Elephas maximus indicus: one gene and its partner. The protein of the gene in region 1 interacts with the protein of each later gene in a pairwise test. Links are inferred from orthologs where the notes say so. Each region holds a gene or a part of one and is shown on either strand. Other genes may lie near its edges. The genes, in order: NUP58 and MIS18A.

Region 1 (8,583 bases):
TTGTATATATTGGGAGTTTGGGGGAGGGAAGCATTATGATACAAGTAGTACAAATTTATCTCTTCAACAAGCTTATAATCACTTTATGCAGATCACTGGCAAACATAAAACAGAAGTTTGAGGTGAAAAGCTACTCGCTGAGGGGAATGGAGAGGGAGCAGCTTATTAAGGAGGTAACACTTGAGATGGGTTATCAATACTGAGCAGAAAAAGGGAGTACAACTAAAGCATAGAACTTTATATATTTAATCAACTGAACAATTAAAATGGTATTTTAAGAAACATTTCAGCAAATTTCGAAATCAAATTAGAAAAACGGTTATTATGCTCCCTTTGCTCCCAAATGAATGACCCCATTTTTTAAAGCTGTGCCCTACTTGTATTCCATAAATATACCAAAAACATACAGTGAAAGGTATGTATTATTAAACAATGAATTAAAAAATTTTAAATTTCTTGACAACTTAAGATAACTGAAGGCACTGTAAGGTATTTCATAACAAAAGTTCAAAACATCCTCAAAAAATATATATATCAAAGAAAAAATCCTTCTTACTCTACCAGAGGAGCAAAAGAGAAATTTCTCTGTGGCAGTGAAATTTCTTTACTTCAAGGAAAACAAAAGCTACATTAAGCCCAACCAATTATTGCCTCGACCCAGTATTATCTGCCAGTGATTTCACTTTTTTTTTTACTGTGGAAAAGCAAAGTTGACTCCATCTAGTCAGAAATGATATTTTAACTTCTCCAGCCTGCCTTAAAGGAGTCCTAGTGGCACAGTGGTTAAAGTGCTTGGCTGCTAACCAAAAGGCTGGTGATTCAAACCCACCAGCTGCTCTGCAGGAGAAAGAGGTGATAGTCTGCTTGTATAACAAATACAGCCTCAGAAACCCCATGGGGCAGTTTTACTCATAGGGTCACTATGAGTCTGAATCAACTCAACGGCAGTAGGTTTGGGTTTTCAGTTTAGAGTACATTAACTGTGGACTTAGAAGTAAAAGCAGTAGCTAACATTTACTGAACACTTACCAAGATGCAGAGCCCTGGTGGCATAGTGGTTAAGTTTCGCTGCTAACCAAAAGGTGGACAGTTCGAATCCACCAGCCACTCCTTGAAAACCCTATGGCGCAGTTCTACTCTGTCCTATAGGGTCACTATGAGTTGGTACCGACTCCACTGCAACGGGTCTGGTTTTCTTGGTTTACCAAGATGCACGTACATGATGCTAGATACTTTACATGCTTTATCTCATTCAAAAACCCTCTGAGGTTAAGTATGTTATTATACACCTTTTCCAGGTGTGGGAACTGAGGCCAGGAGAGTAAGTCACCCAAAATGACTTACCGAAAGAGACAAAATCACCAAGCGGCACCAGGAGCTGTCAGGTCTCCAATCTAGCACTCTAACGGGCAGAGGTCTTCTGTCATTAATTTATTCAAATCCTTTTAAAGCCTGTGTAGATTTTTCTAGTTTATTACCAAATAATTCATTTATTTAGGCATTTGACAAGTATTTATTAAACCTCTTTTCATATGTTAGACACCATCATGAGAACTGAGGATGGAGTGGTAAATAAGATTAGACCCTGCCCTCAGGAAGTTTCCAGTTAGTAAAAAATAGATATTAATCATTCTTTTACTCAATAAAGAGGTTTTGGACATCAAGCACTTTCTCAGTATATACCAGCAGGGTGGTAATGTAAATGTTATTTTTTTACAGTGGTCCTGGATCAATGAATGGGAGCAAACTAAAATGAGAAGATGGGTTCAAGATGAGTAAAGGGATTCCAGATTATTCAGGCCTCGTAGACTATGGTAAAAAAAAAAAAAGAAAAAGAAAATTTAATTTCATTTTAAGGGTAATGGAAAATCACAGAAAGGTAGCAAAGCGCATTTAAAATGAAAATCTCTGGCTACATGTGGCAAAAAGGCTGATGCAGGAGATACAGGTGCAGTTTTCATCTAGCAAAAAAAAAGGTTGCTGGTTGGAAAGCTGGCAGGAATCTTAAGTAGAGCAAGAATCTTATTCATCTCACCACCTAAAACAAAGCCTGGCTCATAGAAATTTGTTCAGTAAGTATTTGTTCTATGAATGCAACACCGTGGAGCAGGACGGTGGCATTGGCAATGCACAAAAAACGGAAATCACAGAAGTAAAATCACCAGGACTTGCTGGTTAAGTGCATAGAGTGCCAGAAAAAGAGGAAAACCCCCAGATTTCTAATCTTGGCTGTGTAGTCTGGGGTGCACTCCCCCCTCCTTAAATACACGTAACCCAAAATATTTTTGCCTTTTTAACCTACAACCACATCCTTCAAGCTCCAGGAGTTATCTTGTAGCTCATGCTATGCATACTTCATTTTATGCACTCCTCTGCCTCTACCTTCAAAAGATTGAGGCCTACGGGCTAAATCTCTCATCATAAAATCATCTTTCACCGTTTTAATTGTATCTTTGCGAACCTCTGCTAGTTGTCTTTTTGTCACACCTGTCCTCGCAGGTTGCAAGAAAACGCTGAATATGTCACCTACGCTTTGCAATTTAAGTGAAAGGCAATGTGGGAAATTACAATACGTTGGTGATCGAGAGAAAATTGTTCTCAATGATGAAACGTGACAGGCCGTGATACTGTTAGTCAAATATTCCAATTTCCCCACATACCGTACAAAATTATCACCAATAAATACTGCAAAAAGCCTTAAAAAAAAAAAAAACTTAAAAAGCTCGCTAAAAATAACCACGAAATCATTAAAGCACCGTAACATCCAAAACCGTAACACTGCAGTGGAATCTGAATTATCGGAAAGACGCTTTTAATTGTTCTCCTTACCAATTTCCATTCGTTAAAGATCTTCATGTCAAACCCTACAATAAACCGTAATTTCATTCATTCATTCAACCTTCATCCCATGCCTGAAGACTGACGCCTCGTTAAGGCTCTGGGCTGTGAACCCCAGGCCCTGTCAACCAGCCAGGCCCCGCTCGGTCGGAACAAAGCCTGAACCACCCGCGATCCTGGAGACCTCACAGACCGTCCGCCCTCCTCCCTGCCAGGCCGGGGCACGGCTCGGGCTGGACCGCGAGCGGGCGGCCTACCGAGCGGGTGGCCCGGCAAGCGCATATCTGTAAGCCCACAGGGAAGGAAGCCACCGGGAAGAGAGGGTCGGGACCAACAGGGAAACCCGCCGGCGAAGACCCGGGCCCGAAAAACGAGTACACGCGGTTACCTAGCCGCCCCTGTCCCGAAGGAGAAGCCGCCCGCCGTGCCGGTCCCGCCGGCGGCCACGGTGGTGGAGCCCAGGGTCCCGGTTCCGAAGGAAAAGCCGCCGGACATGGCTGCACCCTGGGCCCGGGGCCGTTGGCAACCCGGAAGAGTCGGGACCGCTCCTCACGCCTCACCGCCGCGGCGGAGCGGAGGACATCTCTCACGCCAGCTCCAACCTGGCGGGAACCTCACCCCAACGGCGGCCAAGACAAGGCCGAAGGGGTGGAGCAACGCACGCACCAGCCCGTTGCGTCGCTCGCCGCTCGCACGCACTGCCGGGAGCGAGCCCGCGTCGCAAGGGACGCTGGGACAGCGCGCGACCGACTTCCTTAAAGGGGCAGGCGCCCACAGTAAAAACTAAAAGCCAATAATCATTTCTATTTTTTATTTAGTTCTTCTATTTTGGTATCTGTGCTGACTCAGTCTGTACTTTGTAGTTTGGCGTCTCAATTATTGCTTATGTCCTCCCTACTGGATGTGCAGAATTCCGGAGTTGGGAAGGGCGCTAAAGAGCATCTCCAAGTCCCTCCTTTTACAGAGACAAAGGCCGCGAACTGGCTGACCGCTGTCAGCGATTTCGGAAATCATAATTCACCCATCCCTTCAACGCACTGAGCTTCAACTCTGCTCAATAGCTTGCGCGGACCGTTTCGTATAGTCGGACACGGCAGTCACCAACAGGGCTTAGGACCGGCCCGATGGAGGTGTGGGCGCTGGCTCTGTTCGTGGTGCTGAGGAAACGGACTGTCCAAGGCCCTGTAGCTCATGGTTTAGCCAAGTCAACCAGTAGTGTCAGCATAGTAGGAGCTAGAGCCAACCGGGACGCCGCTTCGATATCCTCTGTGCTACCTACTAAAGGGCCTATACAGCTGCAAAGGAGAAAAACACTATACAGACAAGTATGACGTAAGGTAAAATTTAAGAGTTACGTGACCAACGTCAGAAAACTGTGGGTTCCAAGAAGATATCTCCTCTGTGGGAAAGATCAGGGAAGTCTTCAGCAATAGTACAATAGAGGTTCCGCCGTCATAATGTGGGTCTCTTTTTCCATCGCGAATTGTTACCTTCGCCTCCTCAAATGGTTTTCCTACCTAAATTCTCTTTCCATAAAATCCGTCCCATTAGCAACCACCATATTTGTTCTTCTAAAATATAATTGCCACCATGGCAGTCGCTTGATCAGAAACTCCCAGTGGCTCCTTAGTCTAATACGCAAAGTTCTCAACACGACCCAGCTGTACAACCTCCTCTCTCACAATTGCCGTGAATGCAACACTTTCTCCGGTTGAGACTGGGCACTCCCACTTCTGTTTGTAGAATTAAAAATAGATAAACACCATTTTAAACATTATGAAGGTCACATGATAAAACAGAAATGAAAGGGAAATATATTTAAACTATAGTATAAAAAAATTCACAGTGATTGAGCAATAGTAAAAATTATTATGAATTTTAGAGCTTCAGTAATCTAGATAGCGTTTTCAATGACAGATATAGGACGGCCAGTAAGAAGCCTGTAGATATAAAATTTAAATGTACTTCCTTTTGACTAAAAAAAAAAATGCAACCAGATGACATTTGAAAGAAAGCTGTTCCTTATGTCATTTCATTCCCTGGTATTTCCACAATTTTTGAAGAATATCAAAATAAAATTAGGACAAATAAAATCCCCAGCACTTAAAAAGCACTTGTTGATTAATAAGACATGTAAGATTACCTGGACGGAAACAGCATGTAAAAATATTAGAGGAGCTGTCGGAAGATATTATGGAACCCTAGCAGCACAGTGGTTAAGAGCTCAGCTACTAATCCAACACAGGCAGTTTGAACCCACCAGCCACTCTGCAGGAGAAAGATATGGTAGCCTGCTTCCATGAAGATTATAGCCTTGGAAACTCTATTGGACAGTTCTACTCTGTCTTATGGTGTCACTATGAGTCAGAACCAACTTGATGGCAATGGGTTTTTAGCTTTATTGTAACATATTAATAATTGGGCGTACAGTACAAAGGAACTGTCTGTACTATCAGTGCAAAAATTCTATAAATTAAAACTTTTGAAATACAAAGCTTATTGTAGAATTAAAATAGGGGAACCTGACTCAGACAAAGGGTGTTTATGTTTCTTTGAGCCATTCAAATTGATGCGCAAGCTATTCTTACAATTTTATTTTATAAAAATTTTAGTATGGCATTTCTGCCTTGTATCTGGCAGAGCAGTTTAAGTTCTGTTTCAGTAACAAATGATCCCAAATCCCACAGGAAGAAGTACTGCATGGTGGAAAATTGGAATATTTGACGCACAGTGTTATAATCTGTCACAGTTTACAGATGCACCAAGCATAAGACTGGACCTGAAAGACCTTTTCTCATCTTATATACCTGTGGCTGTCTGTCCTATTAGCAAAGAGAGAGGGAGAAGAAAAAAAGAAAACACTTTACATCCTCTCCAAAGAAAACAGTTTTAATAGGCCCAATTTTTTGTTACGAAACTGAAAACTTGCCAGTAAAATAGCAATAACCTCAACTTCGTGCCTATTAAACCCTATCCCCCAACCAGGGAAAAATGTGGAGCACTGTAATTTGGCTTAACATTCCTCATCTAGTGTGAGTGACAAATTTTTATTACAAACGAAGTTCCAAATATTACTCTTGGACATTATGGGACCTGACCCATGTGTCAGTTCTGTGTGAATTACTGCTTTCCAAGGAGGAAGCAAGTGATTCAGATTCTGAATTCTATAGCAAGCTACTTTATTTCCCCTCCTCTTTTATTGTGAGCATTCTGTTAAGAAACTCCATATTTTGCTGATTTGCTTGCTGGATGATAACATTGTTAATGTCATAATCAGACAATTAGCTGAAAGGCAATAGCACTGTAAAAAAAAATTCCAGTTTGTATTTGCATTAAAGAGCTAAATAGCCTTGCAGTAGTAGTGTGTTCAGATCAGGAGAGCCCTTTGAGAAGCATTATTTGAGAGGTTTTAACACAGAAAGTGTCTGGGAATCTGAAGTCTATTTAAAGTGATCTGTAATGTTTATGGTTCTGATCCTCTGAAATATTCAAGAGAGAGGTTATCTTTCAGAAACTACATGCAGCATTTGCCTCCAGACTCTGTCTTGTAAATTTTTCCAGAAGAGGTGTATTTATTTGGCTTGAAAGATTTAGATAGTATCATTCTTCTTTAAAAATCCTATTAAAGTCTCAAAAGAGTCAACGACAACCACAAAATGAATATAGAGAGATAGAGCAATAATAAAAATGTGACTAAATGTTGACAGTTGGTACCTCCACAAGCAAGGTAGATGGGTGTCCATTATACTACTCTCAACTTTTCTGTAGGTTTGGACATTTTCAAAATAAAATGTTAGAAAGGAAGAGCCTAAAGCTAGAGGAAAAGTTCACTATCACAGGTCAGAATACTAATTATCTGTTTACTAATGAAATTTTCATTCATGACTCAAGAAATGAGAAAAATAAAAGCAATAGAAGGCATTTTCCATGAAGCTAAATTAGTTCCATTCTCAGTGTAGTCATTTATTTTGAAATTATGTTTTTGCTATTGGTGGGGGCAGTGAATGGGACATGAAAAAGTTGCCTTGGCGGCCTCATGATGATAGTGGATGGTAATAATTTCTTTTCTTTTTAGAAATCTTGCTAGACAAAATAAAATGCTAGCAACCCTTATAGAATTCTATTGATAAGGTCTTGAAGGTGTGTCTCAATCTCTGTACCTATTAGGAATGCAGTGTAATAGTGGGCAGAAACATTGATAGGAAACAAAGGAATGTAGCTATAAGAAATGAAACCTGATTGTCTTAGGCTCGGTTCTCTAGAGAAGTAAAACCAGTAACCTCTATAAACATATATATAGAGAGAGAGAGATTTATATCAAGGAAATGGCTCACACGGTTGTAGATGCTGGACCATTCCAAGTCTGCAGGTCAAGATAGAGGTTTCCCCTGATTCACGTAGCCACAGGAGTTGGCAAACCTAAGATCAGCAGGTCACAGATCAGGGCTCTTTCTCACAAGCTATGGAGATCGATGAATCCCAAGATCAGCAGGTAAGACTGCAGGTAAGCTGCCAGCTCAAATCCCAGGAACCAGAGGCTAGAAGACAGAAGCCAGCTGCAGGATCCAGCATGAGCAATAAGCACCCAAGCCTTTCCAGACTATCCATTCATATTCAATGCAGGTCACATGCCTAAGGAAACTCCCCCAAATTAACAGGCTACTCACAGCAGACACCATCATGGAGGTGATCACACAATATCAAATCTTATCATGGAAGTCATCACACCATACGGCTGACAAACCACTGAGACTCACGGCCCAGCCAAGTTGACACACAATCCCAAAGGCTAGGAAGTAGGAAATACTGGGGGTTATATTTGTGTCAAGGCCCCTGGGTACTTGTGATTGACTTCTAACCTAAAGGGTGGCAGTTTGAGCCCAGCCAATGATACCACAGAAGAAAGGTCTGGTGATCGGCTTCCATTAAGATTACAGTCAAGAAAACCCTGAAGAGGCAGGGCCAAGATGGCAGAGTAGTCAGATGCTTCTGGTGGTCCCACTTACAACAAAGACTCAAAAAAACAAGTGAATCAATTATATATATGGCAAGCTAGGAGCCTGAAAATCAAAGACAAAGTTAAGAAATCGGACTAAGTGGCAGGGGGAGGGAGAGATGGATCAGAAGCAGTGAGAATTTGGTGGATCTGGCTCAGCAGGAACCAGTGCCCCTCAGCCCTGATCTGCTGGCAAGACTGTGGCAAGGCTGGTAGTAGTATTCAGGACGTGGTTTCCTTAGCCACAGGGAGCCAACGGCACAGAGTCTACTCATGCCTCTGGAATCAGCAAAGAACAGTGCTCTCAGCATAAGATAAGTGCTTGTGTCTAATTTACTGTACAGATCAAATAGCTCCCCTTTCGAAAGAACTCTCTCCCATTTATCTGATCCCTCCTCCCTCTGCCACAGGCCCTGAGGTGGCTTCAGTGATGGTCCATTTCCCTGGGCCTGAGATAGGTCCTGCTGCACACTTTGAGCCATTCTTCCAACCTTGGAGAAGGAACAAATTAACAAATGGGGAAAAAAATAATCTGCTGACTCCCCCAAGCTGGGCACTTAGGGCAGAAGTGGCTACTGTCCAGGCACAAGTGGCCCACAGACTATGAATGCCATTCACCCCTGCATGGACTTGTGTGGCCCCATTTCAGCAGCTATACCATTGTCACAGTGCAAGGGTATATGTCCCTGAGGTCTGACTTCAACAGTTCCAGCTGTGCAGTGGAGAGGCAGGTTTTTGACGTTTGACAC
Region 2 (8,611 bases), on another chromosome or scaffold:
ACAGTAGTTAAAACAGCCTGGTACTGGTACAACAACAGATACATGGACCAATGGAATAGAATTGAGAATCCAGACATAAATCCATCCACATGTGAGCAGTTGATATTTGACAAAGGCCCCAAAACAGTTAAATGGGGGAAAAGACAGTCTTTTTAACAAATGGTGCTGGCATAACTGGATATCTATCTACAAAAAAATGAAACAAGACCCACACCTCACTCCATGCAGAAAAACTAACTCAAAATGGATCAAAGACCTAAATATAAAATCTAAAACGATAAAGATCATGGAAGAAAAAATAGGGACAACGCTAGCCCTAATACATGGTAAAAACAGTATACAAAACATTATTAAGAATGCAGAAGAAAAACTAGATAACTGGGAGCTCCTAAAAATCAAACACCTATGCTCATCCAAAGACTTCACCAAAAGAGAAAAGGACTACCTACAGACTGGGAAAAAGTTTTTAGCTATGACACATCTGATCAGCGCCTGATCTCTAAAATCTACATGATACTGCAAAAACGCAACTACAAAAAGACAAATAACCCAATTAAAAAATGGGCAAAAGATACAAATTGATACTTCACTAAAGAAGACATTCAGGTAGCTAACAGATACATAAGGAAATGTTCACGATCATTAGCCATTAGAGAAATGCAGATCAAAACTAAAATGAGATTTCACCTCACTCCAACAGGGCTGGCAATAATCCAAAAAACACAAAATAATAAATGTTGGAGAGGCTGTGGAGAGATTGGAACACTTATACACTGCTGGTGGGAATGTAAAATGGTACAACCACTTTGGAAATCGATTTGGCGCTTCCTTAAAAAGCTAGAAATAGAAATACCATAAGATCCAGCAATCCCACTCCTAGAGAAATAAGAGCCTTTACATGAACAGATATACACACACCCATGTTTACTGCAGCACTGTTTACAAAAGCAAAAAAATGGAAGCAACCAAGGTGCCCATCAACGGATGAATGGATAAATTACGGTATATTCACACAATGGAATTCTGCGCATCAATAAAGAACAGTGAGGAATCTGTGAAACATTTCATAACATGGAGGAACCTGGAAGGCATTATGCTGAGTCAAATTAGTCAGTTGCAAAAGGACAAATATTGTATAAGACCATTATTATAAGAACTTGAGAAACAGTTTAAACTGAGAAGAAAACATTCTTTTGTGGTTAAGAGAGGAGGGAGGGAGGGAGGGTGGGACAGGGGTATTCACTAATTAGATGGTAGATAAGAACTACTTTAGGTGAAGGGAAAGACAGCACACAATACAGGGGAGGGCAGCACAACTGGACTAAACCAAAAGCAAAGAAGTTTCCTGAATAAACTGAATGCTTCGAAGGCCAGTGTAGCAGGGGCAGGGGTCTGGGGACCATGATTTCAGGGGACATCTAAGTCAATTGGCACAATAAAATCTATTAAGGAAACATTCTGCGTCCCCCTTTGAAGAGTGGCATCTGGAGTCTTAAACGCTAGCAAGCAGCCATCTAAGATGCATCAATTGGTCTCAACCCACCTGGATCAAAGAAGAATGAAGAACACTAAGGACACAAGGTAATTATGAGCCTAAGAAACAGAAAGGGCCCCATGAACCAGAGACTACATCAGCCTGAGACCAGAAGAACTAGATGGTGTCCAGCTACAACTGATGACTGCCCTGACAGGGAACACAACAGAGAACCCCTGAGGCAGCAGGAGAGCAGTGGGATGCAGTCCCCAAATTCTCATAAGACCAGACTTAATGGTCTGACTGAGACTGGAAGGACCCCGGTGGTCATGGCCCCCAGACCTTCTGCTGGCCCAGGACAGGAACCATTCCTGAAGCCAACTCTTCAGACATGGATTGGACTGGACAACGGGTTGGAGAGGGATGCTGGTGAGGAGTTAGCTTCTTGGATCAGGTGGACACTTGAGGCTATGTCCGCATCTCCTGCCTGGAGGGGAGATGAGAGGGTAGAGGGGGTTAGAAGATGGCGAAATGGACACGAAAAGAGAGAGTGCAGGGAGAGCGGGCTGTCTCATTAGGGGGAGAGTAATTGGGAGTATGTAGCAAGGTGTATATAAGTTTTTATGTGAGAGACCGATTTGATTTGAAAACTTTCACTTACTGAAAGCACAATAAAAATTGTAAAAAAAAAAAACACAAAAAAACAAAAAAACCCACTGAGGATTCCTGCTTGCTGTCCAAAGTCTGAGCCGATGTAGATCCTTGTGGTTGTTCGCGGCTGTCAAATTGGCTCTGATTTATGATGACCCCATGTGTGTCAGAGCTGAACTGCTGATATTTTGGAAATAGATTACTAGGCTTTTCTTTTTTGTCTTAGTCTGGAAGCTCCACTGAAACCTGTGCACCATGGGTGACCCTGCTGGTATCTGAAATACCAGTGCCATAGCGTCCAGCATCATGGCAACATGCAAGCCATCACAGTATGACCAACTGACAGACGGGTGGTGGGTAGATCCGTAGCAGTGCTTTCTTCCCAGTTATGCTGCCAGGTGGTCTGCGATGCAGCCAGACCCCTTCCCCTCAGTCTTCCCACCACACCAGTGGTGCTTTAAATCAGAGGCTGGTTGAAGGAAGTCTGTGCTGACGATCCTGAGTGAATGCTCGCCTCTTGCGAGGGGCTGAGGGCTACCTGATGTAGACAGCAGAGGCACTGCCAAACTTTCCAGTAACACTGCTACTGCCCGCACCAGTGTCTGCAACTTCTTAATTTTTTTTATTGTGGTAAACATACATATATATGTTTTTCCAATTCAACAATTTTTACATGTAAAATTCAGTGACACTGATTGCGTTCATCATGTCTTGCCACTACTGATAGCTGCCAATCTCACCTTCCGTGAAGGAGACCTGGTGCAGGATGCCCAGGCAGTGTACCCCATGTGCAGCACCACCCATCTGTCAGTGCGGGCTTGCATGTTGCTATGATGCTGAACAGGTTTCAGTGGAGCTTCCAGACCACGATGGACTAGGAAGAAAGGACTGGCCATGTACTTCTGAGAATCAGCCAGTGAAAACCCTATGGATCACAGCAGTCGGTGGGGATGGAGCCGGACTGGGCAGCATTCTTCTCGGTCGAGATTGCCATGGGTTGGGGGTGACTCCAAGGCAGCTAACAAGAAGACCAAGGATTGTGAAGGTCTGGGTGAGTGAATGGTAATTTACTCTGAGGTCTGTGCACTTTTTCAAGGATGACATCCCCTAACACTCCCCCAAGAAGACCAAGGATTGTGAAGGTCTGGGTGAGCGAATGGTAATTTACTCTGAGGTCTGTGCCCTTTTTCAAGGATGACATCCCCTAACACTCCCCCAAGAAGACCAAGGATTGTGAAGGTCTGGGTGAGCGAATGGTAATTTACTCTGAGGTCTGTGCCCTTTTTCAAGGATGACATCCCCTAACACTTCCCCAAGAAGACCAAGGATTGTGAAGGTCTGGGTGAGGGAATGGTAATTTACTCTGAGGTCTGTGCCCTTTTTCAAGGATGACATCCTCTAACACTCCCCCAAGAAGACCAAGGATTGTGAAGGTCTGGGTGAGCGAATGGTAATTTACTCTGAGGTCTGTGCCCTTTTTCAAGGATGACATCCCCTAACACTCCCCCAAGAAGACCAAGGATTGTGAAGGTCTGGGTGAGCGAATGGTAATTTACTCTGAGGTCTGTGCCCTTTTTCAAGGATGACATCCCCTAACACTCCCCCAAGAAGACCAAGGATTGTGAAGGTCTGGGTGAGCGAATGGTAATTTACTCTGAGGTCTGTGCCCTTTTTCAAGGATGACATCCCCTAACACTTCCCCAAGAAGACCAAGGATTGTGAAGGTCTGGGTGAGGGAATGGTAATTTACTCTGAGGTCTGTGCCCTTTTTCAAGGATGACATCCCCTAACACTCCCCCAAGAAGACCAAGGATTGTGAAGGTCTGGGTGAGCGAATGGTAATTTACTCTGAGGTCTGTGCCCCTTTTCAAGGATGACATCCCCTAACACTCCCCCAAGAAGCTGAACACCCTTCTCAGTGCACACCAGCATTCCAGCAACTCTCCTCCTTTTTTTTTTTTAATTGTGCTTAAGGTCAAATTTACAAAGCAAATTAGTTCCCCCGTTCACTAGTTTGTACATAAAGTGTTACATGACTTTGGTGGTATTCCCCACAGTGAGTCAGCACTACCCCCGTTTCCATTCCGAGTTCCCCCTTTCCTTTCGTCCTGATTTATCTCGTGTAAAAAAAAAAAAAAAATTTTTTTTTTTAATTGTTCTAAGGACCACCTTCTCTCGGGAGTTACTGTTTATTTCACGGCCCTGTCTATGGTTTGGCTGAAAGGTGGCCTCTGGAAATGTGGCTGCAGTTCCACTTCAGAAGGGTGTCTTAGGGCCACAGTCTCGGGGGTTTCTCCAGGCTCTGTCAGACCCCGTAATTTGTTTTTTAACCCAAACCAAGCCTAACCCACTGCCAAGTGGATTCCAACCCATAGAGAACAAAACTTCCTCATAAGGTCTCCGAGGCTGTAATCTTCAGGAAGCAGACTGCCGCATCTCTCCGCCCCTGTAGCAACTGGTGTGTTCCACCACCAAACTTCCGGTTCGCTGCCGAGCGCTTCACCTACTGCACCACCAGGGCTCCTGACTTCTTAAAAGGGGTGGAAAACCTGACGCAGGCGCAGTGATCGACAGCCGCGTCAAGCCGACAGTGAGCACGCGCACGAGCCCATTGCCCGCTGTCCCTCCTCCCTCAGACCCCGCCCCTCAAGGCTCGACCTGGGCCGCTGCGCCCCGCCCCGCGCATGCGCAGGGCCGTTTTTTCCCGTGGTGCTCTAGGGCGCGGGTAATTTGTAGTTATGGCGGGCGCTCCGTCGCTGCGTTCTTGCAAAAGATGCTCCTCTGTTAGCTGTGCGTGTGACCAGGGCAAGTGGAGCGACTCCTCTCTGCTGGGCAGGAGGCTCTCCGAAGACTCGAGCCGCCAACAGCTGCTGCAGCAGTGGGCGAGCATGTGCAGCTCCGGGAGCTGGAGCGCGCCGGCGGCCGGCGCCGAGGAGACGTGGCGTGGGGAGGCCGCGGAGGAGGAGCGGCCGCTGGTGTTCCTGTGCTCGGGCTGCCGCCGGCCGCTGGGCGACTCGCTGAGCTGGGTGACGAGCCAGGAGGACCCCGACTGCATCCTGCTCCGCTGTCAGTCCGGGCGGGCGGGGGGCTTGGGGCCGCCGACTTCCCAGGTGTGCAGTATCTGGGCGGCTCGGAGGGAGGGGGTTGCCTTGGGACCCACTGCCGTCAGTCCATTCCGACTCATAGCGACCCTATAGACAGAATAGAGCTGTCTTATGGGGTTTCCAAGGAGCGGCTGGTGGATTCGAAGTGCAGACCTTTTGGTTAGAAGCCGAGCTCTTAACCACTCCACCACCAGGGTTCCACTGCACCACCAGGGACTTAAAATGCAGAGAAAGTTGAGAGGGGGAGCTGTGCTACGAAAAGGGGAGGAAGAAGGTCACCTGCACCTTTGGCTCAAGAGTGAGGGGCGGGTCCTTTATCTTGAAGCCACCGCCCCGCCCCCCATTCGAGAAGAGCAGTGGTTGAATCAGCAGCATTGTGAGCATTACTCAAAACATTACAACTCGATTGTAAGCCAGGACGTGTTTGTTGTTGTTAGGTGTTGTGGAGTCAAGTTGTTTTTAACTTTTCTAGAACTGTATATAAATATCTTGATTTATCCGCTTTAGACAATTTGATTAAAACTTTCTCCTCCACTTGGACTTCAATTATTCTCACTTTGTCATTGTTCTAGTATTTACGTTCTGCTCTGTAGCCATAATTCCCATGGTCATTTAGCCTTAAGGTAACATTTAAGTGGATTTATTTCTCAACTCTAGTACTCTTATCAGGAGTCCTGGTGGCACAACGGTTAAGCACTCAGCTGCTCATTGAAAGGTTGGTGATTTGAGCCTGCCCAGTGACTCCGAGTGAGAAAGATCTGGCAATCTGCTCCTGAAAAGATTAAAAAAAAAAAACAAACAACCAAACCCATTACTGTGAAGTCGATTCTGATTCATAGTGACCCTATAGGACAGAATAGAACTGCCCCATAGGGTTTCTAAGGCTGTAATCTTTATGGAAGCAGACTGCCGCATCTTTCTCCCACCTGGCTGATGGGTTCAGACTGCCAACCTTTTGGTTAGTAGCTGAGCACTTAACCACTGTGCCACCTGGGCTCCTTTCAGAATTGACTCAATGGCACATAACAACAGTACCCTTAGAGCTTTCCCTTCCTGACTGGTTTATTTTGATTGTTCTTGTTAGCTGCTGTGGAGTTGACCCCGACTCATGGCAACCCACACACAAAGGGATCGGACTGTTGCGATCCGTGGGGTTTACACTGGCTGATTTTGGAAGTAGATTGCCAAGACTTTCTTCCTAGTCAGAGTCTGGAAGCTTTGCTGAAGTCTGTTTAGTAGCATAGCAACATACAAGCCTCTACTCATATAGGTGGTGGCTGTGCTTGAGGAGTACTGGTCGGGAATGGAACCTGGGTCTCCCTCACGGAAGGCGAGAATTCTATCCACTGAACCACCGTGTCCCTCTTTATTTTGATTAATCGTCCTCAGTAGTTCCCATCCCCAAGAAAACTCCAGGTTTGAGTGCTTGAAAATGTCTGTTGTCTTTATACATGAATGTCTCTTTGGCCACACGTACACTTCTTCGGTCATGCTTTGTGCTTCCTCCAGGCATGAGGGGAGCAGGTGGTGCAAAGGCCCTGGGGCTTGTGAGTAGAATACAGATAAGATTCAGGGAAGAAGGAAGGGGCCAGAAAATGGAGAGCCTCGTATGCTATCTGAGGAGACAAAATCTATTCCAGTGGTTGAGGAGATGGGAGTGATATGACCCACTCGTGGAAGTAGGGAGACAAGTCAGGAGCTGTTGTGGAAGTCCACGCAAGGGGTGGTGGCAGCTGTGTTGGGGATGGAGAAGAGCAGATACTTTGGAAAGGCGTTTGTGAGGTAGAATTCACAGCACTTGTCAGTGGAGTGGGTGTGGGGAGCAGGATGAGACAGAAGAATCAAGGATGGCATTAGGGTGTCTGGTGGTGGCATTCACCAGGCTAAAGTGGACTGTAGGAGGAGGTGAAATCAAGGGGCTGTTTTGTTAGGTCCGATATGACATGGTCTTTTCTTCATTTCCCTCCACCTGGACCCTCTGTTAGTGCATCCTGAAACTGAATCCTCCGGTAACGTTTCCTGCTCGGGTTCTGCTGCGGCCCTTGCCCAAGTCATGGTCCAAGTAAAAGATTTTTGGCTGGGTTGCTGGGGACCATCTAAATTACTGTTGGAGAAATGAGCTTTCTTTTGGAGATCTAGATATGTACGCGTTGGATTTTAGCATCTTCCTTGGTTTTAATCCCAATTTCACCAAACCTGGCAGTTATTCTTTGTAATTTATGATTGGAGGTTCTCATTTTTCCAGGTTTTACTATTTCCTGAATTTTTCTTCTTAAGCTTATTCATTTTGTTCATATCACTGGTTTTCAGGGAAGGAAGTAACTCTTATTCTGCTGTCTTTTTCCAGAAGACTCCTGTACATTTAGTTTTAAACCCATGTGTTTTGTGTGTGTGAGTGTGAGAGAGAGAGACAGAAAGGGTGAGAGGGAGATACTTTGGCCTCTTATTTTTTCTGGCCCTCTGAGTTTTCATATAAAACTCAGATTAGAGGTTCTCTAAATATCTGCATGTGTATTATAACAAACCCCATTAACAAATTATAGTTACTTTTCTTCTTTCCAGGTGTCTCCTGTAATGTTTCTGTGGACAAGGAACAGAAGCTATCCAAACGTAAAAATGAAAATGGCTGGTGAGTAAAGCTGTATCTATGTGAATATATATGTTAGAGAAATGCTTATTTTTCAGGTAAAAATCTTTTAAAAGATCTTTACTAGTAATTGCTTGGGATAAAACTGTTTCCTAGTAATCGATACAGGATCAGTCTTTCAAACCTGTCAATTCTTGAGTGATGGTGCCCCCTAAATATTGAGATGGGAGGGTTTCTAGTTTTCTAAAGACATATCCTGATATTCCCTTTTTGGCTCTTTGGGCTTGGTTTTGAAGAAAATAGAAAAAGAAAATATCTGTATCGTGAAACCTCGTAGGCAAAGGTGCCTTAGACCAATGCTGTCTACCTTGTTCATGCCATGACACTCACAGAAAATGCATAGACATATGACGGCCTGACTCACGATGGCCCTGTGGACAACATGATGAAACGTTGCCAGGTCCTGTACCATCTTAGTGATTGTTGGTATGTTTGAGTCCATTGTTGTAGCTCTTGGGTAGAGCCTTCCAGCCTAGAGGGCTCATCTTCCAGCACTATATCAGACAATATTCTGTTGCAGTCTGGGGGGCTTTCATTGACTAATTTTTTTTAAAGTAAATCTCCAGGCCTTTCTTCCTGGTCTATCTTAGCCTGAAAGCTTCACTGAAGCCTGTCCACCATGGGTGATCCTGCTGGTATTTGAAATACAGTGGCATAGCTTCCAGCATCATAGCCATACACAAGCCACTACAGTACAAGAAACTGTGGTGGATATATATATATATATATATATAC

The links.
Region 2: the proteins of NUP58 (region 1) and MIS18A interact in binary tests that used the Homo sapiens proteins (3 or more experiments, as listed by UniProt). The link is inferred for Elephas maximus indicus from reciprocal best matches to the Homo sapiens genes NUP58 and MIS18A.

Annotation. Positions count from the first base shown.
Region 1 is NC_064841.1:56,584,685-56,593,267, reverse strand, and holds the start of NUP58 (nucleoporin p58/p45), read right to left. Parts: upstream 3,521-8,583; 5' UTR 3,334-3,520; coding exon 3,227-3,333; intron 1-3,226. UniProt on the Homo sapiens protein: Component of the nuclear pore complex, a complex required for the trafficking across the nuclear membrane.
Region 2 is NC_064836.1:29,347,082-29,355,692, forward strand, and holds the start of MIS18A (protein Mis18-alpha), read left to right. Parts: upstream 1-4,834; 5' UTR 4,835-4,863; coding exon 4,864-5,191; intron 5,192-7,791; coding exon 7,792-7,858; intron 7,859-8,611. UniProt on the Homo sapiens protein: Required for recruitment of CENPA to centromeres and normal chromosome segregation during mitosis.